4 linked regions of the Struthio camelus genome follow. The protein of the gene in region 1 purifies or fractionates together with the protein of each later gene. This does not show direct contact. Links are inferred from orthologs where the notes say so. Each region holds a gene or a part of one and is shown on either strand. Other genes may lie near its edges.

What was found.
Region 2: the proteins of LGALS3 (region 1) and ECE1 purify together in Homo sapiens (affinity purification with mass spectrometry; 3 studies listed by BioGRID and IntAct, counting the BioPlex papers as one, with this or other methods). This does not show direct contact. The link is inferred for Struthio camelus from reciprocal best matches to the Homo sapiens genes LGALS3 and ECE1.
Region 3: the proteins of LGALS3 (region 1) and SLC12A7 purify together in Homo sapiens (affinity purification with mass spectrometry; 3 studies listed by BioGRID and IntAct, counting the BioPlex papers as one, with this or other methods). This does not show direct contact. The link is inferred for Struthio camelus from reciprocal best matches to the Homo sapiens genes LGALS3 and SLC12A7.
Region 4: the proteins of LGALS3 (region 1) and SLC15A4 purify together in Homo sapiens (affinity purification with mass spectrometry; 3 studies listed by BioGRID and IntAct, counting the BioPlex papers as one, with this or other methods). This does not show direct contact. The link is inferred for Struthio camelus from reciprocal best matches to the Homo sapiens genes LGALS3 and SLC15A4.

The regions. Positions count from the first base shown.
Region 1 is NC_090946.1:79,452,745-79,459,770, reverse strand, and holds the start of LGALS3 (galectin-3), read left to right. Parts: upstream 1-4,022; 5' UTR 4,023-4,114; intron 4,115-5,011; 5' UTR 5,012-5,015; coding exon 5,016-5,033; intron 5,034-5,490; coding exon 5,491-5,856; intron 5,857-6,152; coding exon 6,153-6,241; intron 6,242-6,361; coding exon 6,362-6,530; intron 6,531-7,026. UniProt on the Homo sapiens protein: Galactose-specific lectin which binds IgE. May mediate with the alpha-3, beta-1 integrin the stimulation by CSPG4 of endothelial cells migration.
Region 2 is NC_090962.1:8,911,905-8,918,811, reverse strand, and holds the start of ECE1 (endothelin-converting enzyme 1), read right to left. Parts: upstream 3,017-6,907; 5' UTR 2,524-3,016; coding exon 2,392-2,523; intron 1,028-2,391; coding exon 886-1,027; intron 790-885; coding exon 577-789; intron 1-576. UniProt on the Homo sapiens protein: Converts big endothelin-1 to endothelin-1.
Region 3 is NC_090943.1:78,880,116-78,887,056, forward strand, and holds the start of SLC12A7 (solute carrier family 12 member 7), read right to left. Parts: upstream 3,012-6,941; 5' UTR 2,882-3,011; coding exon 2,743-2,881; intron 1,170-2,742; exon of another isoform or gene 1,124-1,169; intron 1-1,123. UniProt on the Homo sapiens protein: Mediates electroneutral potassium-chloride cotransport when activated by cell swelling. May mediate K(+) uptake into Deiters' cells in the cochlea and contribute to K(+) recycling in the inner ear.
Region 4 is NC_090958.1:14,967,554-14,974,512, reverse strand, and holds the start of SLC15A4 (solute carrier family 15 member 4), read right to left. Parts: upstream 3,023-6,959; 5' UTR 2,954-3,022; coding exon 2,375-2,953; intron 1-2,374. UniProt on the Homo sapiens protein: Proton-coupled amino-acid transporter that mediates the transmembrane transport of L-histidine and some di- and tripeptides from inside the lysosome to the cytosol, and plays a key role in innate immune response.

The sequences.
Region 1 (7,026 bases):
TTAGTACCGGGGTGAGGAGGTGGGTTAGTACCGGGGTGAGGAGGTGGGTTAGTACCAGGGTTGGGCGGTGGGTTAGTACCGGGGTTGGGCGGTGGGTTAGTACCGGGGTGAGGAGGTGGGTTAGTACCGGGGTGAGGAGGTGGGTTAGTACCGGGGTTAGGCGGTGGGTTAGTACCGGGGTTGGGCGGTGGGTTAGTACCGGGGTGAGGAGGTGGGTTAGTACCGGGGTTAGGGCGGTGGGTTAGTACCGGGGTGGGGCGGTGGGTTAGTACCGGGGTTGGGCGGTGGGTTAGTACCGGGGTGGGGCGGTGGGTTAGTACCGGGGTGAGGCGGTGGGTTAGTACCGGGGTGGGGAGGTGGGTTAGTACTGGGGTTGGTCGGTGGGTTAGTACCGGGGTGAGGCGGTGGGTTAGTACCGGGGTGGGGCGGTGGGTTAGTACCGGGGTGAGGAGGTGGGTTAGTACCGGGGTTAGGGCGGTGGGTTAGTACCGGGGTGGGGCGGTGGGTTAGTACCGGGGTTGGGCGGTGGGTTAGTACCGGGGTGGGGCGGTGGGTTAGTACCGGGGTGAGGCGGTGGGTTAGTACCGGGGTGAGGCGGTGGGTTAGTACCGGGGTGGGGAGGTGGGTTAGTACTGGGGTTGGTCGGTGGGTTAGTACCGGGGTGAGGCGGTGGGTTAGTACCGGGGTTAGGCGGTGGGTTAGTACCGGGGTTGGGCGGTGGGTTAGTACCGGGATGAGGAGGTGGGTTACTACCGGGGTTAGGGCGGTGGGTTAGTACCGGGGTGAGGAGGTGGGTTACTACCGGGGTTGGGCGGTGGGTTAGTACCGGGGTGAGGCGGTGGGTTACTACCGGGGTTAGGCGGTGGGTTAGTACCGGGGTGGGGAGGTGGGTTAGTACCGGGGTGAGGCGGTGGGTTAGTACCGGGGTGGGGCGGTGGGTTAGTACCGGGGTGAGGCGGTGGGTTAGTACCGGGGTTAGGCGGTGGGTTAGTACCGGGGTGAGGAGGTGGGTTAGTACCGGGGTTGGGCGGTGGGTTAGTACCGGGGTGGGGAGGTGGGTTAGTACCGGGGTTAGGGCGGTGGGTTAGTACCGGGGTTAGGGCGGTGGGTTAGTACCGGGCTGAGGCGGTGGGTTAGTACCGGGGTTGGGCGGTGGGTTAGTACCGGGGTGGGGAGGTGGGTTAGTACCGGGGTGAGGAGGTGGGTTAGTACCGGGGTTAGGGCGGTGGGTTAGTACCGGGGTGAGGAGGTGGGTTAGTACCGGGGTGAGGAGGTGGGTTAGTACCGGGGTTAGGCGGTGGGTTAGTACCGGGGTTGGGCGGTGGGTTAGTACCGGGGTTAGGCGGTGGGTTAGTACCGGGGTGAGGAGGTGGGTTAGTACCGGGGTGGGGCGGTGGGTTAGTACCGGGGTGAGGCGGTGGGTTAGTACCGGGGTTAGGAGATGGGTTAGTACCGGGGTTAGGGCGGTGGGTTAGTACCGGGGTGGGGCGGTGGGTTAGTACTGGGGTGAGGAGGTGGGTTAGTACCGGGGTGAGGAGGTGGGTTAGTACCGGGGTGGGGCGGTGGGTTAGTACCGGGGTGAGGCGGTGGGTTAGTACCGGGGTGAGGAGTTGGGTTAGTACCGGGGTGGGGCGGTGGGTTAGTACCGGGGTGAGGCGGTGGGTTAGTACCGGGGTGGGGCGGTGGGTTAGTACCGGGGTTGGGTGGTGGGTTAGTACCGGGGTGAGGCGGTGGGTTAGTACCGGGGTGGGGCGGTGGGTTAGTACCGGGGTTAGGCGGTGGGTTAGTACCGGGGTTGGGCGGTGGGTTAGTACCGGGGTTGGGCGGGGGGTTAGTACCGGGGTGAGGCGGTGGGTTAGTACCGGGGTTGGGCGGTGGGTTAGTACCGGGGTGAGGCGGTGGGTTAGTACCGGGGTTGGGCGGTGGGTTAGTACCGGGTTGAGGCGGTGGGTTAGTACCGGGGTTGGGCGGTGGGTTAGTACCGGGGTGGAGCGGTGGGTTAGTACCGGGGTTGGGCGGTGGGTTAGTACCGGGGTGGGGCGGTGGGTTAGTACCGGGGTTGGGCGGTGGGTTAGTACCGGGGTGAGGAGGTGGGTTAGTACCGGGGTTAGGGCGGTGGGTTAGTACCGGGGTGAGGAGGTGGGTTAGTACCGGGGTGGGGCGGTGGGTTAGTACCGGGGTGAGGAGGTGGGTTAGTACCGGGGTGAGGCGGTGGGTTAGTACCGGGGTTAGGGCGGTGGGTTAGTACCGGGGTGAGGTGGTGGGTTAGTACCGGGGTTGGGCGGTGGGTTAGTACCGGGGTTAGGAGGTGGGTTAGTACCGGGGTTGGGCGGTGGGTTAGTACCGGGGTTAGGGCGGTGGGTTAGTACCGGGGTGGGGAGGTGGGTTAGTACCGGGGTTGGGCGGTGGGTTAGTACCGGGGTTAGGGCGGTGGGTTAGTACCGGGGTTGGGCGGTGGGTTAGTACCGGGGTTAGGCGGTGGGTTAGTACCGGGGTTGGGCGGTGGGTTAGTACCGGGGTTGGGCGGTGGGTTAGTACCGGGGTTAGCGCGGTGGGTTAGTACCGGGGTTGGGCGGTGGGTTAGTACCGGGGTGGGGCGGTGGGTTAGTACCGGGGTGGAGCGGTGGGTTAGTACCGGGGTGAGGAGGTGGGTTAGTACCGGGGTGGGGAGGTGGGTTAGTACCGGGGTGAGGCGGTGGGTTAGTACCGGGGTGGGGCGGTGGGTTAGTACTGGGGTGAGGAGGTGGGTTAGTACCGAGCTGGGCGGTGGGTTAGTACCGGGGTGAGGAGGTGGGTTAGTACCGGGGTGAGGCGGTGGGTTAGTACCGAGCTGGGCGGTGGGTTAGTACCGGGGTGAGGAGGTGGGTTAGTACCGGGGTGAGGCGGTGGGTTAGTACCGGGGTTGGGCGGTGGGTTAGTACCGGGGTGGGGCGGTGGGTTAGTACCGGGGTTAGGAGGTGGGTTAGTACCGGGGTGAGGAGATGGGTTAGTACCGGGGTGGGGCGGTGGGTTAGTACCGGGGTGAGGCGGTGGGTTAGTACCGGGGTTGGGCGGTGGGTTAGTACCGGGGTGAGGAGGTGGGTTAGTACCGGGGTGAGGCGGTGGGTTAGTACCGGGGTTGGGCGGTGGGTTAGTACCGGGGTGGGGCGGTGGGTTAGTACCGGGGTGAGGAGGTGGGTTAGTACCGGGGTTGGGCGGTGGGTTAGTACCGGGGTGGGGAGGTGGGTTAGTACCGAGCTGGGCGGTGGGTTAGTACCGGGGTGGGGAGGTGGGTTAGTACCGGGGTGAGGCGGTGGGTTAGTACCGGGGTGGGGAGGTGGGTTAGTACCGGGGTGAGGCGGTGGGTTAGTACCGGGGTTGGGCGGTGGGTTAGTACCGGGGTGAGGCGGTGGGTTAGTACCGGGGTGGGGCGGTGGGTTAGTACCGGGGTGAGGAGGTGGGTTAGTACCGGGGTGAGGCGGTGGGTTAGTACCGGGGTAGGGCGGTGGGTTAGTACCGGGGTGAGGCGGTGGGTTAGTACCGGGGTGGGGCGGTGGGTTAGTACCGGGGTTGGGCGGGGGGTTAGTACCGGGGTTAGGAGGTGGGTTAGTACCGGGGTGAGGCGGTGGGTTAGTACCGGGGTTAGGAGGTGGGTTAGTACCGGGGTGGGGCGGTGGGTTAGTACCGGGGTGAGGCGGTGGGTTAGTACCAGGGTTAGGAGGTGGGTTAGTACCGGGGTGGGGCGGTGGGTTAGTACCGGGGTGAGGCGGTGGGTTAGTACCGGGGTGAGGAGGTGGGTTAGTACCGGGGTGAGGCGGTGGGTTAGTACCGGGGTGAGGAGGTGGGTTAGTACCGGGGTGGGGCGGTGGGTTAGTACCGGGGTGAGGAGGTGGGTTAGTACCGGGGTTGGGCGGTGGGTTAGTACCGAGCTGTCGGGCAGCCGGGGCCGGGCCGGGCCGGGGGCGGAGCGGGCGCTGGGAGGCGCCGCCGGGGCCGACGCTCCCCCCGCGCCGGGCCGGGACCCGCCGGGGCCGCCCCGCTGCGGGCGGGGACAGGAGCCGCCGCCGCCGCCGCCGGGAGCGGAGCCGGAGCGGAGGCGCAGCCGGAGCGGGGCCGCCGGGAGCGCAGCCCGCAGGTGAGCGGCGCCGGGCCGGGCCGGGGGTCTGGGGTGACCCGCAGGCGGTGGCAGCGCCGCCTCCAGCCGCCCTGTCGCGGCGGGTGCCGGCTCCGGCCGCAGCTCGTCGGAGCGGCCCCGCTGCCCCCCCGGGGCCGGGTCCCCCCCGTGCCCGGGCCGCGGGTCGGGAGGAAACGATGCTCGTTGCGCGGCCCCGGCCGAGGCTGCGCGGCCCCTGGCTGCTGCGCTGAGTGCGGCGGTGGTGGTGGTGGTGCTGGTGGTGGCAGTGGTAGCAGTGCTGGTGGTGGTGGTGGTGGTGGTGGTGGTGATGGTAGCAGTGCCGGTGGTGGTGGTGGCGGTGGTGGTGGCAGTGGTAGCAGTGCTGGTGGTGGTGGTGGCGGTGGTGGTAGCAGTGGTAGCAGTGCTGGTGGTGGTGGTGGCGGTGGTGGCAGCAGTGGTAGCAGTGCCGGTGGTGGTGGTGGCGGTGGTGGTGGCAGTGGTAGCAGTGCTGGTGGTGGTGGTGGCGGTGGTGGCAGCAGTGGTAGCAGTGCCGGTGGTGGTGGTGGTGGTGGTGGTCGCAGCAGTGGTAGCAGTGCCGGTGCTGGTGGTGGTGGTGGCGGTGGTGGTAGCAGTGCCGGTGGTGGTGGTGGCGGTGGTGGCAGCAGTGGTAGCAGTGCCGGTGGTGGTGGTGGCGTTCAGCCCGGTGCCCTTTCTACTTCGGCGCATGCCGGCCGAGACGAGGCCAGCTCGTGTCCCGCGGCCGCTGCTGGCGCTGGTCGCCCCCGGCTTTCTCAGGCCGGTCGCGTGCCCCTCGCTTCAGACCGCGGCGCTGGGATCTGCGGCTTTGCAGCGCTGGGTTTTTTTCTCGGGTGGCAGCTGATAAAAACGACTGACCGCCCCTTCGTCTTTTTATTCTAGGAAGATGGCAGACGGTTTCTCCGTAAGTACTGATTTTTTTAAGGAAAAAAAAAAAAAAAGCCGGGCCCGTCGCTGTTGCGTTGCACGGAAGTGGAGGGACTATTGCAAAAACGAGAACTAGTCTTTGCTACCCTGCCTAACTCCCCGACCTAGTTAGACCCACGCTAACCGCTAAGCCACTTCCTGGAAACCTCAAATCGCGTTAGCTGCTCACGGACGCTTGCGTGGCCGCGTTTGGCGTGCGATGCCGGCCGCGAAAGACGGCAAGACCCTGCCCCAAAGCCCGCGGCGGTCGGGGGACCCGCAGGGACTCGTGAGCCGGAGCGTCCCGCTCCCAAACGAACCCAGAGCCGCTTGAGACGGCGCTCTCCCCGCCGCCGGCAGCTAGGAGCGCGTCCGCCGGCCGCCCAGCTTTCGCTCCCGGCTCTCCTCTCGCTCCCTCCCGTCTCCTTCCTAACCCTCCTCCTCTGCCCGTGCAGCTTTCTGACGCCTTGCCCAGCGGGAACAGCCCGAACCCCAGCGCTCCCCCGGGCCAAGGTTGGCCCGCGGCCGCCTGGGGCAACCCGCCGCCGGCCCCCGGCGCCTTCCCGGCGTATCCGGGCCCGCCGGGGACCTACCCGGGGCCGCCGGCAGCACCGGGAGCTTATCCGGGGGCACCGTGGCCGTATCCTGGAGCACCAGCAGGACCGGGACCGTATCCTGGAGCACCTGGAGCGTTCCCTGGAGCACCCGGAGCGTTCCCCGGAGCGCCAGCGGGACCAGGGCCCTGTCCTGCCCCGGCGCAGCCGCCCAGCGGCCCTGGCTTCGGGCCGTCTCCTCCGCAAGAGGGACGGGCCGCATCGATGGTAACGGCTCCGTCGGGTTTCAGCCGTGCTTGGCCGCAGGGGTCGAGGGGCCCCGAGCGGGAGCCGAACACCTCCGTGGGCTCACGGGGGCCTGCGGGCGGCCAAGCACCACGTCACCCTGGTGGCGCGGGGAGGGGGGGCTCTGCGGGGACACGCGAGCGATGGGCCGGGATGTTGTGAAGCCACAGCCTCCTGCTGTGCCTCGAGACCCCCCCCCCAGCCCGCGCCCGAGCCCTGGGCTTTGGCTGTATGTTAACGTGCCTTCCCGCCAACGCCAAATCCCTGCTCTTTCCCAGAAAGTCCCGTTCGAGCTGCCGCTGCAGGCGGGCCTCATGCCGCGGATGCTCATAACCGTCACGGGGACGACGAACGCAAAACCAAACAGGTAGCGGGGCGCCGAGCACCCAGCAGCAGCCCTGCGGGCGCAGCGCTGCTTTCGGCAGGCCCTGTAACAGAGGCCGGGGCTTTCGCGGCAAAAGCGGCTAAACCCTTGCTGTCGTTGCAGATTTTCCCTGGATTTCAAGCGAGGGCACGATATTGCCTTCCACTTTAATCCCCGCTTCAACGAGGATAACAGAAAAGTCATCGTCTGTAATTCAATGTTGCAGAACAACTGGGGAAAGGAGGAGAGAACGGCACCTAGGTTTCCCTTTGAAGCTGGAAAACCCTTCAAGGTAACCGCAAAAAAAACCCCCTCAAACCCCTTAACCACACCCAAAAGGGCCAATTTGTTCGGTACATGACAGACGGACAGACACACCCTTTCTCCTGTCTGAAAAATGCAGTTTCTCTACCTGCTTGTAAAAGCAGTTTATTACAGAAGCCTTCAGCCACTCCAGTCCCTCATTTGACTCGACACCATCACTGCCGCATGTTAGGCGTTGTAGCTCTTTATCCCTGCAGACGTCTGGGCAGAAAGTTGCGTCAGCCCCAAAGCTGGGACTTGGAGATCCCACATGGCTGGTGGAGCTGGGCCCCTTAGATGTGTGTCTTCTGAGAGCGGTAACTCGAAAATCCACCTGCAAGTTATGTCCTGGTGGCACCAACATGCTGTTAACGTGCCAGCAGCACCCCTACCACATGCTGGCAGAGTTGTTTCATCAGGGCTGTGTAACGAGGTGGGGAATAACTATAAGGACCTTGATGCTTTCCCACACGAATCTGCTCCCT
Region 2 (6,907 bases), on another chromosome or scaffold:
AAGCGGCTGGGGTCTGGGCAGGGGTTTCGTTAACCTGGATCCCCTCGTGAAGAGGCATTAATGGAAGTGCTGAGCGTGACCGCTCGGCCGGCGGCCCCGCTCCCTTCTCGCTGCGAGCCTCGTGCCAGCTTTCTGCGGGAACGGCTGGGCGGCAAGGCCGTTCTCCCTCCCCGAAGCTCTTCCCTTTCGGCTCGTCGCCCCCAGCGCCCGGCACGGCCTCCCCAGCGGAAAGCGCTGATAAGGAGCCAGTTGTTTGCTCAAAGCCTGAGCAAACACTTCCCCACGGGTCGGCCACGGAGAAGCTGCCACCTGCTCCGTTCGCACAGGGCGCGAAGCGGAGACGGGGGCCGCGGCGGTGGAGGGGGGACAGCGTCCCCGCGCACCTGCCTGCCAGGGTCCCCGCTGGCTGCTGCTCGCCCAGGGAGCTTTTTCTCCCCAAGGAAAGCCAAGCCGAGCCCCATCGGTCCCTCAACTCCGTCCTTAAATCCCCAGAGGCAAATTTTCCCGCGGTCCCCAAATTCAGCAGGGCTCCTCTGCCCCGGCCGGTGTTTCGGGGCACGCGGCCGAGCCACTCACCCAGCAGATGCTTCATGACGGCCTGGTTGTGCTCCCAGAGGTTGTTGAAGGTGCCCCAGCGCGAGTGGCCGTCGGGCAGCGGGTTGGCCTTGATCCAGCCGCCGCAGGCGTAGCCAAAGAAATCCTCGCAGGGGTTCACCGCCCGGTCCAGCGAGTTGAGGATGGAGCTGGTGACGGAGATGCACGCCTCTGACAGGCACACGGCGGGCGGCCCTGGAGGGCGGCACGGCGGGTCAAGCTTGGCGCCAAACCCCGGGCCAGCGGCCCCTTTTGCCCCCGCTGTCCGCCACGAGACACGCGCCGACTTACGGGCTCGGTACTGGAAGATGAGGCCCAGCAGGCAGGCAGCCAGCACGGTGGCCAGCACGGCCACCAGCGCGGCCAGCTGCTTCTCCAGGCGCGTGCGCTCGGCCCAGCAGCCCGGGCTGCTCCGCGAGCCGCGGAAGTTCACCTGCAAGGCGGGGGGAAAAAAACCAAAAAAAGCCAAACAAACAAAAAAAATCAACAGGAGAAGCAGCGGCGTTTTCCCACGGGGCCGCAGGGAAAACCCACCGGCAGCAGGGGACCGTGGGAAAAACCCACCAGCGCGCTCCCGCCCTCCGAGCCGCCCTCCGCTTTACGGCCCGTGGGCTGAATCGAGGCCACGTGGAGCGAGCCGGCCCGCGCCGGGTCGGGAACGAGGCCGCGACTCCAAATCCCACCAGGAAGGGCGGCACAATGGGAGGAAACGCTGGCAGGACGCGGAGCCCGGTGAGTCGCAGCCGCCCGGGCAGAAAAAAAAGTCGTCAGCGGCAAAAGCCCGGAGCTTGGTCCTCTGCACCCATCGCCGGTGTGCACCGCTTTACCCAAAAGTGGCGGCATCAATGTCGTTTCGCGGAGGCCGAGCCGCTTAAAGAGCTGGGAAAGCTCAGCGAGCCGGCTCAGCTCACCGATCCGGCAGGAAAAAAAAAAAGTCAGAGCGCTCTCAGCGCGCGTCCCGGCGCAAGGACGAGCCCTGGCGCGTTCGGCTGCCCTTCGAGCCCCCAGCGTGGGAAGCAAAGGTGCAGCAGAGCAACGCGATCTTTGCTTTCGAGGCAGGAAAAGCCATTCCTGAGTGGGGAGGCTCCTTGCACCAGTCGCAGCGCTCAGCACCGCTCCCTCGCCCCACCTGTGGCCGGGCAGGCCCCAAATATTTCCGTGCGAGCCTGAATTTCTGAAGAGCCGGCAGCGCTGCCACCGCCTCTCTGGGCATCGGCTGTTCCCTGCCACCCACGGCCCCTTTCAAAGCGGCTCTCCCACCGCGCGGGGAGGAACGCGCCCGGATTAGCCTAATCCGACTTTTATGTGAGGACAAAGCTCCCCGTCCAGCGCGATAATTGCTCGGCAAAAGCCTCGCAGCTCCCGGACCCCGAGCCAGGCTCCGCTGGCCAGCGGGATGAACCAGCCCCGGCCGGGCCGCGACAGGGTTTCGCCTGGGTGCCGAGCGGGTCGGAGGATCAGCCGCGTCTCTCGGCAGGCAGCTCCCGCGCTTCCTTTCCCTTCTGCTCCCTGGCGCCGCAATCTCCGCGGCTCACTCTCCCTGCCTCGGGGGCCCGCAAAGGACTCACATTGCCAGGGCGGCCCGGTGTTTGCCATCCCCTCGCCAGATGGCTGTTGTTCCCTCACCTTTTTGGGGGGGCTTTTGCAACCCTGGAGGGCGAGGAGCAAAGGGCAGCTGGCGGGGACCTGCCCACGCCATCCCAACCGGGACTTTGCCCCGGGGACGGCGGGAAGCTGGCGCTGCCCAGCCCAGCAAAACAAGCACCGAAAAATCCCCCCACCCTGCCCGGCCCCTACCTGGAAGCCATTGGGGTAGGCATCGCCGTCGGCCTCCAAGGGGTCCTCGTCGTCCAGCGTCGCCCGCTTGTAGGTCGACATCTGCAAGGTGAAAAGCGGAGCGGAGGCCCTCAGCGTCCCTGCTGCTGGCATCGGGGCGCCCCGGCCATGCCGGGCCCAGCGAGGAGGAGGAGGAGGAGGAAGAGGAAGAGGAAGGCGACACGTGCCCTGCCAGGCTATAAACACTCCCCCCTCCGGGGGACTGCCTCCCCGATGCAAAGCAGCTGCACAATTAGGCGCCGGAGGGACTTCAGGAGGCCAAAGAGTGAGCGAAGCCCAACGCACCGCCAGGTTTCGCAAGCTCTCCACAGCCGGAGATAAACTTTCCCTTTCCCCGGGGGAAGGCGAGCGCTGCTTTTGCTGCCCCCCCAGCCCCCACCATGGCGCCGGAGAAAGCAGCAGGCAGCCGCCAAGCGCGTTTCCTCCCGAGGCTACCGCCTTGCTCGCGCCCTCGGGCCTGACCACGGCCCCGGGCGCCTCCGTGATTCGGTTTGGTTGCCCAGCGCTGCCGCAAAGCGCGTTCCCAGAGGGGAAACTGAGGCAGCGCACGGAGCGGGACGGCACCAGAGCAACCCAGCTCTGCAGGGGAGGATGCTCCCGAGCGGCTCGCTTGGCTCCGCTCCTCAGTTTCCCCCACTGCCCAACCGGCCGGGCCAGACTGGCGGGGGAGACTGTGCAAAGACTGCGCTGGCAGCAGGGGGACACACTTACCCGGCCAGGGAGTTTTCCCACCAGCACCGCGCAGAAGAACCGGCGAGTGAAATGAAAGTGCCAGGGCTCAGCCGCAGGGGTGAACAACGGGCCCCAGAGGTGGGAACTTCCCCTCCGGCCGCCAACGCCTCCTTCCCACACACCGCCAACGCCGTTAACCTTTGCCAGCCGGCCTCCCTCGGCCAGCTGCAGGGCTGGGGTGTTTCTTCCCCCCCACCCCGATTTTTCGGAGCCGCGCTCCCGCGGGAACGCTCGTGGCCAGCCCCTCGCGCAGGCCCCCCCGCCGGCCTTGCCTAGAGCCAGTTTTTCCGATTGCACAATTAATAATTGAGCCCATCCTTTCCACCGCCCCGGCTAACGGGACACCGCCAGGGCCCTGGATTTAATTAGCCCCCGGCGCATAGCTCGGACCGGCACGGGCGCTTGCACAACCTACCAAAACAGCAACAACAACAAAAAAAAAAAAAACGGGGCCGAAAAAGCTGTTTGTGCAGATGGGCCGGGAGGTGAGCGCCGGGGCCCAAACTCGCGCCCGCGGCCCCCCTCGACGGGCCGACCGCGCCGGAAAGGAAAAAAAAAAAGGGGCAAAAGCTCCCACGGCAGGATTCTTATCACTAAAATCCGCTTCCCCCCCCCCGCCTCCATCCTCCCTCGGTTTTTCCTGCTGTTTTTGCGCCACATGCCGGGCTGAAATCTGCAGCTGCGGGCGTGAAATTCCTGCCCGCGGCTCCCGCGCATCCCCCCCCCCCCAACCCCGTCCCAGGCAAATTCCCGGAGTCGGGAGCCGCCAGCCAGCGCTCCAATTCGGTTTCCTGCGGAAACGCGCCTTGGGCGCTCCCTTTCTTTCGAAAACGCCGGGAAAAACCGGGCTTTCGCTGGCGGCCGGCCCGAGCACAACCCCAGAGCAGACGGCAGCGAAGCCACCCCGGCGCCGGAAGCGGGGCGACCGCGGGGCCAAGCGGCGGTGCCGCCGCAGGGTCCCCCCCGCCCGGCTCGGCGGCTGTAACCCAGCACCCGCGGGGCCCGGCATCGCGTGGGGACAGGAGGGGGACAAAAAAAAGAACGAAAAAAAAAAAAAAAAAGAAAGAAATCCCCCAAACCCTCCTTGGCGCCGGCCGGAGAGGAAGGAGGAAGTTAAAGACCAAGAAAATAAATAAATAAACAAACAACAGGCGTTTTTCCTTTTTGCCTTCCGCCGGCGCCCAAAACCGACGTGCCCGCCGTGGGCCGAAAGGAGCATCCGCGGGGGGCCTGGCCGCGGGGCACCCGTGGGCGCTCACGCCGCGGGAAACGGGGCGCTTCGGGCCGCAGCGGCGCCCCCAGACGGGCTCTTTTGCCCAAATCGCCCCTTTTTCCTTCAAAAAATTTTAACCCCCCCCCCCCCCCCCCAAGATTGGCTCTGGAGAAAGAGAAAAAACCGCCGCTCGGGCTCGGCGAGCGAGCGGCGCCTCTGCCCCTGGGCGCCCTGATTTTGGGGGGGGGGGGGTACCGGCGGGGCGGGGGGCCCCGGCGTCCGGGCGGCGCGGGTGGGGAGCGGCCGCTGCCGGCTCCCTCCCGGGCGCCATTTCGGATGCGGCGGCTCCGGGCGCCGTTTCGCAGCCGCTTTCCCCTCTCCGGCGCGGGAGAGAAAAAAAAAAAGAAAAAAAAAGAAGAAAAACCCGCGATTGGGGCCTTGAAGCGCCCCAAAATCGCTCGCACCTGCCCCGCGCAGCCCCCCGCGGCACCCAGCGCCAGGGCTTGAGGAGGCCGCCGGGGGGGGGGGGGGAGCTAGCGGGGGCGGCGTTGGGGTCGGGGACCCCGGCGCTGGCCCGGGTCGGGCCCCCAGGATTTGGGGGGATTTCGGCCACCTCGAGCGGAGCGGGAAAAAAACAAAAAAAAATCTCAGTTTTGCCAAAAAATAAATTAATAGGAGGGAGGGGGAGGAAAAGCGGCTAAAAGGCGCCCCCTCCCCAACCCCGAGCTGGGGGGGGGGTCGCGGGTGGGCACCCACTCACCATGGTCCCGGCTCCTCGGCGGCCGCCCGTGCCGCCGCCGCCGCCGCGGCCTAGGGAGCGAAGGATGCACCTGGGCCGGGAAAGCCAATGGCCCGGCGGAGGGCCGGGCTTCCGCGCTCGCCGCCTTTAACTCTTTCGGGAGGCCGAGGGGGGGCCCTCCGCGCACGGCCCCCCCCTCCCGCCGCATCCCCGCGGCCCGGCTTTCCCGCGCCCGGCCCCTTCCCACGCCGCGGGTATCGCCAAGCGGGCGGTTGGGCAAGCGTGCGAGGATGCAGGCGCGCAAGCGTGCACTTATGTGCGAGCGTGGGCGCCTAGGCGGGCATCCAAACGCACACTCGCACACGTATGTGCACATGCGAGCATGGGGTCGGGCAAGTATGCACGCACGCAAACATCCCAGCACGATTGTGCACGTATGCATGTGTGCGAGCATCCAAGCACATGACCGTGCAAGTCTGCACGCACGCAAGCACGCAACTGTGCACATATGCACACGTGCAAACATCTAAGCACACGATCGTGCAAGTATGCATGTGTGCGAGCACCCAAGCACGTGACTATGCGAGTCTGCACACATGCAAGCACACAACTGTGCACGTATGCAAACATCTGAGCACACAAGTGTGCAAGCATGCATGTGTGCAAGCATCCAAGCACATAACCATACAAGTCTGCACACACGCAAGCGCGCAAATGTGCACATACACATACTTGCAGACGTCCGAGCATGCGATTGTGCAAGTATGCATGTGTGCGAGCATCCAAGCACGAGGCCATGGAAGTATGCACTTGTGTGAGCATCCAAGCATGCAACTGCGGAAATAGGCACATGTGCAAGCACCCAAGCATGTTGCTGAGCAAGTATGTGCACATGCAAGCAGCTGAGCATGCAGTCATGCAAGTATGCACACCTGCAAGCATCCAAGCACACCACTGTGCAAGTATGCAAACATCAAAGCGCGTGATCGTGCAAGTATGCACTCATGGAGGCATTCATGCACATGACCATGCAATCATGCACTCGTGCAAGTATCTAAGCTTGCAAATGCACAAATAGGCACACGTGCAAGCATCCAGGCACATGACCATGCAAGTATGCACATGTGCAAGCATCCAAACATGCAACCATACACATATGCAATCCTGCAAGCATCTAAGCATGCAATTTGCACAGACATGCACATGTGCAAGCATCCAAGCACACAATTGCACAAGCATGCAGTCATGCAAGTATGCAAGCACATAACTGTATATGTATGCACATGTGCAAGCACCCAAGCATGTGACCATGCAAGTGCAACCATGCAGGCACCCAAGGATGTGTTTGTGCAAGTATGCACACACACAAGCACACAATAATGCAAATACACACACATGCAAGCACCCAATCATGCAAGTATGCACACATGCAAGCATCCAAAGCACACAGTTGTGCAAGTATGCACATACACACACATCCGGAGCTGCACATGTGCAAGCACACAGGCATGCGTCTGCCCCTGCTTCTGCCCCCTTCCAGCCGCTGCCTTGCCTGAACCCGGCCAGAGAGCTGAGATTTACCAGTCCCTTGAAAGGTTTTGGATTTTTTTTCCCACCTTTTTCTTGCCGGCTGCAGCTTTTTTTTTCCCCCCCCTCTCCTCCCGATCCTGACTGGCTTTGTAACAGCACAACCTCACAGCAAGGCCATCTCTGCTTTATGCAGATGAGCCGGGCTAACGAGCTTTTTAACAAGCTTTTAATTGCCACTTGCCAGGGGCACCTGGGGCAATTCC
Region 3 (6,941 bases), on another chromosome or scaffold:
CAGTAAGGACAGCCAGAAGTATGCAACTGTTTCCATATAAGGAATGACTAAGTAAGTTTTCAGTTTGGAAAAAGATGACTGGGTTGAGATGGGACTAGAATAGGGGTTTTAAGTGATCTGGAGAGGGACGGACAAGAATTAGCTTAGTTTGATGCCTCTGATCAGGTGACTGGTTCAGAAAAAAGTAAATCTGCAAATAAATAAGGTGACTTGCCACTGAGCCGCAGGACTTACTGCCACAGAGGCTGTATGTGCAAAACTGTATGCGCAACCCTCCCTGGAACCGACAAGAGAGTAGAAGAGAAATCTTCTCAGCGTATTTAGAATACAAGTCTAGAATTTAATCTACAGATCTGAACTCACAGAAATGGGGAAGGATCTAGCTTCAGAAGCCTCTTCTGTTTCTGAGCAGAAATGGTAGCAGCCTGGGAGAGCATGTGGAAACGGTATCAGGTTTGCCAGCTCATATCCCCATGCATATCCCTCTACAGCACACTTTGGCCAGTACTGGAAGCTCTACGGACACAACTGACGAAGCACACCAACAGAACAAAGACAGATACCCGTAATACATGGAGATAAAATTAAAATCCCCAGTTTGCATGTCTCAGTGTTCATTTCCTTATAGTTTCTCCAGTCTTCTGAAGGGGAATACAAAAATATAATATAGTATTTCTGTGCAGTAGTTTTTGAACCGCAGACCAGATATAGACTGGTTCCATGTCCAAGCAGAAGCTGGCTGAGCATACACTACAGCAGGCAGCGAGATTAGTCTTTGTCTGCTAGTTACTATCTCCTGACCACCCTTCTCTTCTAGTGTTTTAGAAAGCATATTAAATGAGGCAGGCAGATATAAATTCCTCATGTTACCTTGTATATATGCGAGACAGCAGGCTCCCACCGTCAACTACACTGAGGCGTTCAAACATTAAGTTGTACCCTACACCTCTGCTCTTCACCAATGCTGCTGAGACCAGAGCTCTAGTTCAGCCAACTGGTCACTCACCTAAGCTTTCCTCACCGTCACACGTGCAGGAGTAGCACGCAACTAGGAAATACAAGGCTAGCATTTCAGATGTTTATGAAGGAGCGAACAACACGGAGCAAGAATATCCTGGCTTACCCCATTCTTGGGAACGAGACGAGTATCAGATGAGAATCTGTGTACAGTAAGAAGGGCAGGGAATAACTGATCAACAGCTTGCTAATAAGTCACCAGGAACTACTTGACTGGTGATCTAATGACTAAACAGCAGGGTGGGTGGGTTATTTAACAACGCACTAGTGCAGTCAGGGTAATTCCAGAACAATTACTCTGTTTTTAAGCCAGGCAATTCAATCAAAACCGTTAAATTTCTAGATAGCCTAAACAAAAAGAACAAAGTTACCTACTGAGCTGTACACCTTATGGGGGAACCCACCAGGAAAGGTCGCACTCCCACTGCTGTTCAGCCACACGGACCAGCCGCCCACCTCGAGACAACCCTGGCAACCCTTGAGACAATCTCAGGCTTCTTGCAGTGCTCATTCACCTCGCTAACTCCAAAGCGGGGGAAGGCTGTTTTTCCTCTGCAAGAGCCGAGTTTTCTGCTGGTTTAGCATGTTGAACCAGCTCCATGAGGTATCTGACAAGCACTAGGGTCAAGCACCCAGGAAGGGAAGGGAGCTGAGGAGGGGGGATGGAAAGGAGGAGTGTTTCTTCCTACCCTCTGCCCAAGAGCTGAGGGCAGAGAGAAAGGCAAGCACTGCCCCTGAGCAGCAGGTCGTGAGATGGGTTTAACCACGAGGACTTTAGAAGCAGTACTGGTATTTTAGAATTCATTACAGTTGTCAGAGGAAGGCGTCCAGGCAAACTAGTTGACTGTACAGCAGGAATCTAACAACTTCTGTGCCTGACAGGTCCGCGTGCCACAGATGTCCACATGACACCGGAGGCAACGTGAAGTACGTGGCTCCTCTCCCAAGCCTCCCTACGGCTCTAGGGCATTTCGTCTCTGCTAGCAGACCCTGAGCTCCCAGAGCAGACCCTGTTTTCAAGTCGAGGCCTTCTCCAGTCAGCGCTTTCCCCTCTACTCCTTATTTTAGGGATACATTAAGAGAGGAGGGAAAAAAAAGAGAGTCCTACTTAAGTTCATCTTCTCAAGCAACAGCGCTGTACAACTGTAGATGGGTTAGACTTACTTTGCAAGCATCAGCCTGCACAAACCCTTACTTACCCACACGAAAAACTAAGAATTCTTGCCGTTTTAACGATTAGAAATAAACCACTATGAAAACGCGAGTTCCACTCTTCCCCCCCCCCCAAAAAGGGGGTTTCCTCGTGTCCCAGGCCCCCCAGAAACCGCACCCCTGACCACACCACCTCACGCGTGCTCCTCCCTGGCGCAGGCTGCACAAGGCGCAGCGGTACCGGCCGCACGAGCCTCTTTCGGGCAGGCCGGGGGGGGGGGGGGGGGGACGGGACGGGACAGCGGCGGCGCTGAATCACAGCTCTGCCCGCCCGGGCGGCAGCGCAGCCTCCAGGCCGCCGCGGGACGCGCCCGCCCGCCCGCCACCCCCCGGCGCGATGCTGCCCCCGGGGCGACGCCAGGCCAGCCCGGCCCCGGCCGCCGCCTCCCGCCTGCGCAGGTGGGCGCGGAGCCGCCCCGCTCCGCCGAGGGCAGCGCGACCCCCCCCGGGCCCGGCCCCGCTGCGCCGCGCAGCCCTCGCCCAGGTGCCGGGCGCCTCCCCGCCCCCGCTCACCGGCGCCGCGCTCCCTCTCCTCGTCCTCCTCCTCCTCCTCCGCCGTCGCCTTCAGCGGCTGCCGGCGCCCATCGCGCTCCGGCGGGTCCCGCTCCTCGCCCTGCGCCTCCACCGGCACCACAGTGAAGTTGGTCGGCATGGCTGGTTGCCGCGGAGCTGCCGCCGCTGCCGCCTCCTCCGCGGCGAGCCGGGCGCTGCCGCCTCCCTCACGTGAGGGCCATTTCCTCACGCAGCGGGGGGCGGCCGCCGCCGCCGAGCCGCCTCCCCCGCGCCCCGCCCCGCCCCCCCGGCGGCGCGGCTCCAGGCGCCGGGCCGCACCGCAGCGCACCGGACCGGATCGGACCGGACCGGACCGCGCCGGCCACCCCGGGCGGCAAGCTGGGGGGAGGCGCCGCGCCGTGCCGTGCCGTGCCGCGCCTGGCTCGGGCTTACACCCGCGGCGGCTGGGCGGGAGGTTTCCGTCTGCCTGTGGGTGTGCGCTGCCCCGCTCCGTGGTGCTCGGCGCTGCCCGCGGCCCGCCATGGCCCCCCCCCCCCCGGGCGCTACAGGGGTTTCCTCTCGGCGGTGAAATGGCGCCTGGCGAGTGCCCGGCAGCAGCAGTGGCGGCTGGTGCTGCTCGGACCCCAGCGGGCAGAATGGGTCTTCCAAAGGAAGGCAGAGCCCGGCTCGGGGCCTGGGTCCTCCGGGTCTGAAGGGGGGGAGCAGCATCCAGACGGCCCCAGCAGGAGCTGTGCAGGTCGCCTTTGGGATGAGCGCAGGAGAAAGCCCTCAGGGCACCTTGAGGCCACCGTGGGAGGAAGGTGGATCCCCGAAACCTGCTCTCCTGTGCAGCAGCCAGGGGTTGCAGGTGGCCGTGAGCCTGGCGTGCAGCTGATCCCAAGAGACAGCAGGGATCAGCAGCGTATCCCAAAATCAGGATGAACGATGTGGCATCAGGGACGAGCTGTAGCTCTTGGTTACCCTGAGCAGGGCTGTGCCCGCTCCGCTGGGACATGGCCCTCTGTATCCCTGCCTTTCGGGAGGAGACTCTGAGGGGTTTGTGGGTCCCATGCTCGGTGGGGTGGATGGTGTCTACTCAACGCTAGCGCCTCTCCCATGGAGCGGAGGCCTCCAAGGAAGGGAGGTGGCCACCAGAGGTGATAGGGAGATGGCAGGCGTTGGAGGTGGGCTGGCAGACGGCAGGTCAGGCCAGCCAGGGAAGGGGAGGAGAGAGGCATGATAATAGCCTGGTATCCAGTAGGAGCTCATTCAAGCCTTCCTGCAACCACAGTGATGGGAACGGTGGCTGCACGGAAAAGGAGCTTCTGTGCTGGGGACCTGTGTCTTCATCCTCTCCCACCTTTTTCTAGGCTCGAGAAAGCAAATGGGAGGGTGACTTTGTTAGTAATAGCAGATTTCTAATCCGTTACTGGTGTTACTACAGAGGCAGGGATGTTTTTGCACTTTTTTCACTTTAAATCTCATTTCCTCGTCGTACAGGCTATTATCAAAATTAATGGTGCTGAGAAACCAGGTGTGATAAATTAGAACGGTAGATGTAATTAAAAAGCATATCTGGAAAATAATAACTCCCTCTCTGCAACACAGACTGGCCGCCGTGCAATATATAAGACATGGGACTACGTGCTGAGCACTGAGAAGAGAAGAAAATTCTAAATAGCTAAATATCTAAACAGATCATTTGTTAAGTACTTTGAGAAGTCCACCAAAAGAAACTCATTTACAATAAAGAAGGTGAAAACTGTGTGACACAGTGCATGCATGAAAGGTCGTGGTGGGGAAATTGGGATTGCTGCATTAAATTTGAACTCAGCCTGATACAACTTTTATGTAATAGCTCAGAGCCAGAGAAAGAGACGCTTTGAACCAACGTTTGCATGAGCAGAGGCTGCAGTTTCTCTTACAAGTCCCTTCTGCTTCCTCTGCCATAACCACAGAGAGCCATTTGATGAAAAATGGAGCAGGGATGGTAAGGTCGTGCAGGGGTTGTGCGTCCCCTGTCATCTGAGAGCTTTGATTTTTGAGCCTCACAAAAGTCTTTGCACAATGGGGACCTGAGACCAGCAAAAGTACCTTAATTGTTAGGTCAATTTATTTTCATTTCCTTTCAAATAGTATGAGATAAGTAGGATTGTGATACATGCAAGTTTTAACACTAGAGTAGCCTGATGTTACCCTTCTAGGAATAAGAAATAAGAGAAACGCAGAATAAGATTAGAACATTGTATAGACCTGTGTCTAAAATACAGAATGCTGTAATCATGGCATTAAGGTTTTTCTTAAAGGATTAAAAAATAAAAGCTTCAGATTGGTGACACATTAACTTAAAACACAGAGCTCTGGACCACCACCGTCTTTCTCTGCGGTGAGGTAGGAATGCAGCAGGTACACCATGGATTCAAGCAGACATATCCAGATGGACCTTGAAAAGGCATTCCTTTTGTTAACAAAAATGCGGTTTGGGGAGAGTATTCTACCGAGCGCTCAGAAAAAACTGAACACAGAACAGAAAAGGAGATGTGAAAGTATGATGAAACTAGCCTACATACCAAGAATAGAAAAAGGATTAAATGAATGCTAATTATGAATAGGTTATACATTTAAAACAAGACAGCAGCTGAAGGAAATTAATAATTTTGTTAAGCCATTAAAAAACTTTAAAACTCTTACTGCCTTTAATATTATTGAGATTTTAGAAATAAATCATTGGCAAACAAAACAAAAAAAAACCAGTTACTGTCACAGGAAAAAAGTAAATTCAAAAATAGCAAGGTAGGAAAGAAAAATGTTTAATATATCCAGCTCATAGTCTATGTGACTGACACAATAAAAACCTTTTTAAGAGAAAGTGATGCATTAACTAAAATTAGACACTTTTCAACTCATCAGGGCTTATACAATTTATGTACAGGAGTCTTAAAATGACTCCAAGCCAAGGACCTGTCTGAGTCAGGAATGCTAATTTTTTAGATCTCTTGAAAAGTTGGGAAAATTCCAAAAGATTGAATGATTGCCCATATCAATACCTAGGCTTCAATACCTAAAAAAGGGGGAAAGAGTGACTCATGAAAGTTGAGCTAATTGGCTCGATACTAGTTCATTTTGTTCTGAGGAAAGATGATTGAATTTCTTCTGTTGTTACAGCCCACGTGAATATAGCCAAGACGTTGATTTGCTACCAATTGAAATTTGGTTGGAAACTCCGTGTACTCCGTGTACTTTGCACATGTTTCAGGTTCCTGACAGATCGCAAGTGTTAGCAGAGGCGGAAAGATATCAAAAGGCAAGACAGGGAGCAAGGCAGATGAGGATTTGCTCTGACACTTTAATATGTTCTTCAGCCATTTAGATTTTCTGGTAAAATCTGTGGGTGATAGAAAGATTGAAGTAATAAGCATGGGGGGGCAATGTTTATAATACAAACTGACCAGATAAAGACATTATAATATAGCCATAAATACAGCCGAGGATCAGGACTGCAGTAAGAACATTTATCTTGAGAATGACTCAAAAAAGGATGTGGTGTTATCCATAACAAATAGCTTAGTATGATACCTTTGCAATCTGAAGGTTGCCCTCAAACGGCTAGACCTCCCTGACCTTTCCAATACTTCTGTCTCATCCTATGACCAATACCCAAGCCAGCCACACTGTGCTTTTTGTTTCTTGGGTGGAAACAAGTGTTTCCCAGGCTCCTGTGCACCATGTCAGGTGGAAGTGCTCTAAAATTTACTTTGTTGAAAACTTGCCTCTCCTCAGTGACCCGGGGGCGTTGCAATCTGCCATCACATGGCTCCTTACAGTCTGTTATCACTGCCACCAAGAACGCAGTTAGATTAGCACGTCACAGGGCACTCCAACATCTTGAAAGCTAGAGTGTTCTCATTGCCCCAGGGCTCATACCTAGGACATTTCTGTAGAGATGCTGCAGTAGCTTTCCATATTTATAGTGATCATTAAGACATGCCTGAAGCAAAGTGTCAGGCTGTGCACCTTAGCATGCAGTCAAACCATGTGGAAGTGGAAGCCTTATGACAACCTGACGCAACTCGACCTTGCCAATGTAGTCAGTGCAACTGCTGAACTGGCATTTTTGAGGCAGATTGAACAAAATCAAAATTTTGTAGTCACATTGGTTTGTGGGATGAAAGCAGCAGCAGCTTCAGCATTCCTGTGTGCCTGCTCTGTTATAAAAGAAG
Region 4 (6,959 bases), on another chromosome or scaffold:
GTCAGGTTATATATATATATATATATATTTATATGTATATCACATGCTTATAAACACTATTCTGAGAACCATCAGGTTCAGATTTAGATCAGCATGTTGGATCAATTTGCAGCTTTCAGAAAAACAACTCTTACTTATGAACATAATTAAGTAAAGCTAGTTTATAACTAGCTTGCAGCAGCTAGTTTTTGCTAAACTGGCTGGCAAAAGCTATTCGATACTAAGCCACTCGTAACAGTACTTCTAAATACGTCTATTTAACAGAAATTAACAAATTACATCTTTTTAACTTCAGGAAAAAAGTGAATATTGGAAGTACGTTTCCAATTTTCCACATTTAAAATGATTATTTTCTTCTAAATACAAAAAACATCATTAAATGTGGGTTCTCTGCCCAAATACAGGTTAGTGTTAAAATTGAAAATGTTAATTTTTTTTTTTTTTTTTAAAGAGAGTTGCAATGAAATGCAATTAACAACATCGGAAAGCTGGTTCATGTCAGCTAAAGTGCATGATAAACAATTCATAGTATTTCCCTTTGTTTGGTATTTAAGGGAAAGAGGACAAAGCTTATCAGCACAAATCCAACTAAAACACGTTTGTATTGAATGCTGGCCTCCCAAGAATGTGACTCTGGAAGACAGACTTTATTCTCAGCAATATGTATCCACCTACCCAGCAGTGGTGCTACATTCCTATGCAGGGAGAAGCCACCCAAGAGAGCTCAAAAATGCAGAAGGTAAATGGTAGGCTGTAATGTATTTAACAATAGAAAAGCCAGAAAATCAAGGGGAAAAATCCAGTCCTCAGCAGAGCACTCCTAATTATTAAGAACAAGAAAGGAAAATTTCTTCTGCTTCACTCCACATAAATCACTGTGAATTATCTACAACCTAGCGAAAAATTGTTTTCAATGAAATCCTGGGGGAAAGCCTAAAAAAAAAAACAACAAAAAACACCGCTAGCTACAACAGCTTACACTTCCATTGGCAATGGTTCTTCTTTTACTCTCCTTCTGCCACTATTTATCTCTTACATTTAATGTTCATAAAGTGTTCTGGGGATAAGCAGTCTATTTTGAAAAACACCTTACAAGATAAAGTTATACTAAAGCTATTTCGCTTGATGGGCTCACGCTGGCTTAAACAGAACCAATACACTTGGGGACATACAATCCTAGGCTATAATAATGTTTTACATTTATGAACTGCCTTTCACCCAGAACTCCAGAATTTATAATATGTGAAATGCCAAAGAATGAAAAATGTAAACTGCACAACAGAGAATAGAGGTACATTTGGCATGGACATTGTGGTAGAACCTACCTCTCACAAAGAATTTCATGGCATTTCTGATAGCTGCACTAACCAGAACTCAATGGGCCAGTAAATAGACATGTAACTGGATTAGAGGTAATTTCCCTGCTTTGTCACCAAGAACTGTTTGGTTAGGAAAGCTTCTCAGTATCTAAGCCTTTGAAATTGTCAATTTGTAAAGCAAAAATTATACTCTGATTCAACACCCCCAGTCACCATGCTGTCTTACCATGCATAGGATTGTAGAAAACACATGCAACAGCGCATACCAGGTGATACTCAATTACGAGCTCTCTCAAATACTTTCTGTAAAAACACTTAGTTCTGCAGTGATGAACCAATGAATGATCTCACTGAACTGGATCTGAATAAGGTCGTTTTACAAGACGTGTCCTTATGAGAACAGCCCAGGTAATACATTTACCATGTTGAGAGCACCTTCTTGCCTGTCATCTGGAGCAACATTAGCCTGCACAAAAACATCACTCAAGGGCGCAGTGCAGTATACAGAGCATACCTTAAGCCTCAAATGGTATTTGTTATCTATCCTTAGATAACATCTATAATGTTTATTATAGAAGGATGGTAAAGGCTGCTGATCACAGCCCTAGAAGGCTCATTCCATCCCTGTCAAAACTAAAGTGTATATCGGATCTTTCACCCAATCAGCTCTAAGGTCCAGTTAGCTGGGTATAAACTCCACAACAGAGGATATTTAACAATTCACTTAGCAGCTATGGAATATTCAACCCTGCTCCTCGAGACTGTGGAAGCCTTAGCCAAATCAGGCACCACACCTAAGGCAGGGTTACAAGGAAACCAGGGGTCGTGAGTGATCAGACTTCACCCAGATGCCAAGGTTACAGCTAGCAAAGAACAACTCACTGGCCTGCGTTACACAGGGGACCAGGCTGAGCCATCTGAGCCCCTCACAGCCTGCAGAGCTGTCGGCGCGCTGCCCACCCAACCCAGGCAAGTCATTAGCTTGGCCGACACGCGTCACCTGGCCCAGGTCTACCCCCACCAACGACAGCAGCAGCTGCCGGACGATACTTGACCTGGTCGGCCCCGAAAGGGGTGATGTTGGCCTTGACCGACCCGACGCCCAGCCCTACGAGGACCAGTCCCACGAAGGTGGCGGCGGCACAGTAGCGGGTGGCTCCCACCTGGTAGCAGGGCACCGGGGTGGCGTTGGCTGCCGGAGAGGAGCAGTTCTCCACGGGGGACAGCGGGATGTCCCCGCAGAGGCCCTGGCGGGTGTGCGGTGCAGCGATGACCGGGAAGGCCAGCATGCCCAGCAGGTAGAGCGCCATGCTGAGCAGGATGGTGCCGAACTTGCCCAGCAGCGCGTCGGCCAGCCAGCCTCCGAAGGGCGACACCAAGTAGGTGATGCCCATGAAGAGCAGCAAGGCCTGGCTGGCCTGCGCCCCCTCCCAGCCGTAGGGAGGCCCGTTGAGGAACAGCACCAGGTTGGAGGTGATGCCGTAGAAGGCCACTCGCTCCAGCAGCTCGGCCAGCAGCACGGCGGCGCAGGCCAACCGCCGCCCCTGGAAGGCGCTGCCCGCCGCCGCCGCCCGCCCGCGCTCCCCGCCGCCCCCCAGCAAGGGGGTGCGCTCGCCCGGCTCGGCCTCCTCCATGACGGGGACCCTTCCCGGCCCCGCCGAGCCGCCGCGCTTCACCACCCGCCCCCCTCCCTCTCCGCTCCTGTCAGGAGGAAACTTCGCCGCGGCCGCCTGGCGCGGCGGGGCGGGGCGAGGCGAGGAGGCGCGTCGCTATTGGCTGAGGGCGCTGTCGCTCCCCTGGCGGTGCTGTCACGTGGCCGGGCGGGCCACCGGGAGCGGCGGTTGAGACAGCGGCGGGGCGGGCGGCGGTGGCGGGCCGGAAGCCGCGGGGGGAGGGGCGCGCCCTGAGGTACGGCCGGCGCCGCGCCCGCCCTTCATCAGCGCCGGGGCCGTGCCGAGGCCCCCCCGGAGCTTTACCGGGGAAGGACTGCCCCTTGCGATGTCCCTAGGGTGACATCGGGGTAAAGAGGGCGAGGAGCGCGGCGCGGCAGAGAAGGCTGGTTTAATGCTGGTTCAGCCGGGAATCCCGTTTAGGGCATTAGCTGGACTATGTGTCTTTATTCCCTACGCTTAGCTCGCACGCCTTGGTGTTGAAGCCCTCGTTCTCACCGTCTTTCTCCCACAATAACAACAAAATTGAAGTGTAATTTGTTTTCCTACCTTGCTTCCCAGCCCGAAGGGCAAAAACAAGTGTAGAAAAATAAGCAGGGTTGTCACAGTAAATTCGCCATCCTGTAGAAAAACGTAGATGAACGTGGGGAGCTCTCGCTCATGCGAGCGAGATGTCGCCGCCCGTCAGGGCACGGGCCCGCCGTCAGCGTCCGCAGCAGCGTAGGCCGCGAAGGAGCACCCGCGCTGGAGGCGCGCTTTAGATCTGCTCTCTGAAGGTACGTTTATCCGAGGGGTACTTGCAGTAATAACATGTCACAGGGACACGTGAAGAAATTAAAGACTCACATCTGAATGGAAGAAAGCACACGGTAAAAAGAAAACGCACGTTAGTGGTCCTGGGACTGGGGCCCTATGTGTTCTTTTGCAGCACCGTCCTGTATGCCGGGTTAAAGATCCCGAAAGCGTGTAATTGTCCTCAACAACGAACTTAAGTGATTAGTGATCCTAAAGTCTTAGTTTTGGCCTGAATGAAGTGGGAAAGATACTGTTCTTTGCGTGTTTTCAAGAAAAAGGTAGACTGATTGACATCATCTAGTTACACCCAACATCTCGGTATGACTTGAAATTTTTATGACACTATATTGCAGCCTTGGTAATTGAGCAGCCCATACTTGTAAAAGGAAACGTACTCATTGAATGATGGGCCTTTGTAAATAACATATGTCATGGAAATGACTCATAAAATATATGTGCTCGCTTGTTAAATTTCATGACAAAGGGCAATGAGGAACAAACAATTAGCTCTAGAGAGATCTCTGTTTTTTGGTTTATTAACTATTGTAATGTGACTGATTTTATAATTAAACAGTTACATTTCAGCTTTGTCCAGCTTAGTACAGTTTCTCATACCAATCCCTGCAGTTGCTACTCATGTGAGTACATTTTCTAAGGGGTCTAGTAGTATTTCACAGAGACTACCAAGTAAAAAACCTCACTTTGCATTATTGCATGTTTTAATATGTGCAGATATCACAGTCTAGGCCCTTCATAATTTATCTCAGCAGGGGTGGTGACATTTTATCTTGGCTTACCCAGTAACTGTTTAAAAACACCTAGCAATGCTGAATTAGTGTATGAGATACACATTATAAAAATGTTATTTGCCTCTTCAGGTATTGAGAAATAAGTAGTCTAAGTGAATTCAAAAGCTGCTATTATCGTCTCAACCTTCTGTGTTTGGTGGCTTCAGAAGGTAATTTTTCATTTTTCTCTGAACAAGAACACTTAGTTACAGTATATTTAAAACGTCTACATTAAGATACATCCATGATGAATATACCACCCTAATGCTATTTGATTTTTTTTTTCCTTGGAAAGTCAACATTTTGTGAAGGATTTGAGTGACAGTTGATCAAAGTAGGGAGGCTTTAAAATATGGCTTTTTTAGAAGGGCTATATTAACAATATGCAAAAGAGATTAAGAATTGTTTTTCCCCCCTTCCTCTTTTAGTTAGGAATCCACAAAGAAAGACATGACCCTTTCTTTGAATATAATGAGTGCACCTCTGTCTATATAGTGATGTATTTAATGTATGTATATGTTTCCAGAGACACAGCAATACTTAATGCTGCAAAGACTCTTAGTTTGTTAATTCTGTCAGTCAAGGTCTATATATATCATCAAAAAGAGTATTATCATTATAATAAATAGTAACATCATCTTAAGGCCTCTTTGAATGTTTCCTTTTTTCCTCTTTACTTCCCAGATCACAGGTTAAGCTTCCTCATTTGTCTCAGGTCATTAGTGGAGCAAGCCATATCTACTTTGATGTTTCCATTTTTCTGATAAATATTTTCCTACTTTTAAGAGATGGTTTTTATGTTAAACACTAAATCTCCTGCATAGCTATTGTCTGGTTTTTGAGCTGTAAAAAGTTACAATGGCCTAGTTATTGGTAGTTAGATAGATCTCATGCAGATAATCAACACCACAGCTTCATTTTAACCCAAACCTGACATTCTGGCATTGCTTTAGGCCATGCAACTGGAAAATGACCCTGCTTTGACTAAAAGGCATTTGTATAAGCTTCATGCAGTAAGTGTGAAACGTGTCTGTTAGACAGACTGACAATTGTGGCAGTTGTCTTCCCTTCCTTTTTGAAATAGATACGGCTGGTGCTAGGTTTGATCTCAGAACTCTCAGAAGTCCAGTTATGCGTGGTACAGGCCGCTTAAAGTAAAACAAACTTCAAAGCTAAAATCCTGGCCATGTTCATAGAAATCCCTCTAAATTTCAATGGAACTGGGATTTTATGCCAAGTCTCGGAAATGCCTTCTACAATGATGATGAAAATAGTGTGATCCTTAAATTAGCAGTTACGCTATTTTCAGCATTTATGCAAGATTTATTGCTGTTAACATCTAAGTTGAAGCCAGCATTTTTAGCTTGGATGGACATTAAAATGGTCTCAGCACTGTGTTGTGCCGAATGATTTCTAAATAATCATCAGTGAGATTTTGCAAATCTCAGACAGCTGAATGTAGCTCTATAGCACGAAGAACAAATCACAAGCAGCCTACTAAAATGCTTATAAATTGCCTGAATACACTCCAATATATATTGTCTCTTCATCACTTCTAAACCCTCAGTTTGTGCATACCTGCCATCCCCAGAGATCCATTCAAGTTACTTGAAGAACTGCTATTTTTAGAGTTACTAAATTTAAGAGACTTTCTTTGTAATTGGAGTATTTTTCTCCCTCTGCTTGACACTGAGACTTGAAGAGTCCTACATAACTTAAGTCAATATAAAGTGGCACTGCAGTTTGCAGACCCTCTTCCACAGCCTTAGAGCAACATAAGCATCTGTGAATTACATCAGCAAACTAGATTAGGTTAAAAGTATCCCAGCAAAAAGGTGAGCTTTCTGTTGCATCAGGCACTCCTTTCAGGGGCCTATCTCACCCTCACAAATGCCCTGTACTCTTTCTCAACATTTTTGCAAAATGCTGATTCAAGGTCAAGGCTCTGTGGATATCTGCAGTCAGCCACCTGGCCCCTATCAGTCTCCCAAGCAGCTAAGACCGGCCTCTTGTCCTCTTGTTCTTGAGTTTGGGCTCTTTCTTTGCCCTGTCCTTGCTTTATGTGATTGTAACTCGGGAGCCTGCTTGCTGTTGCGGAGGCTGTGCTTGCTGATCTGGGCTTTGCCAAGGTTAACTTATGTATCTTAGGTTCTGCTTCTTTGTTTGGCCTCCCCGACCTTCAGCCTGGTCTCTGACCGTGCTTTTGCCTTGTCCTTTGTACTAGCACGTTCGTTTGGCTTTTTTGGTTGTTGGCCTCTGATTCATGATTAGCTGCTTCTCCGCTCCTGCACTGAAAGCTAACTGCTTGGGTCTGGGGAGGCACGTGGCAACGTGGTGGAGCTGAGGAACTGCCTCGGGAGACTTTCTCTGGCAACAGCGTTCCCCTG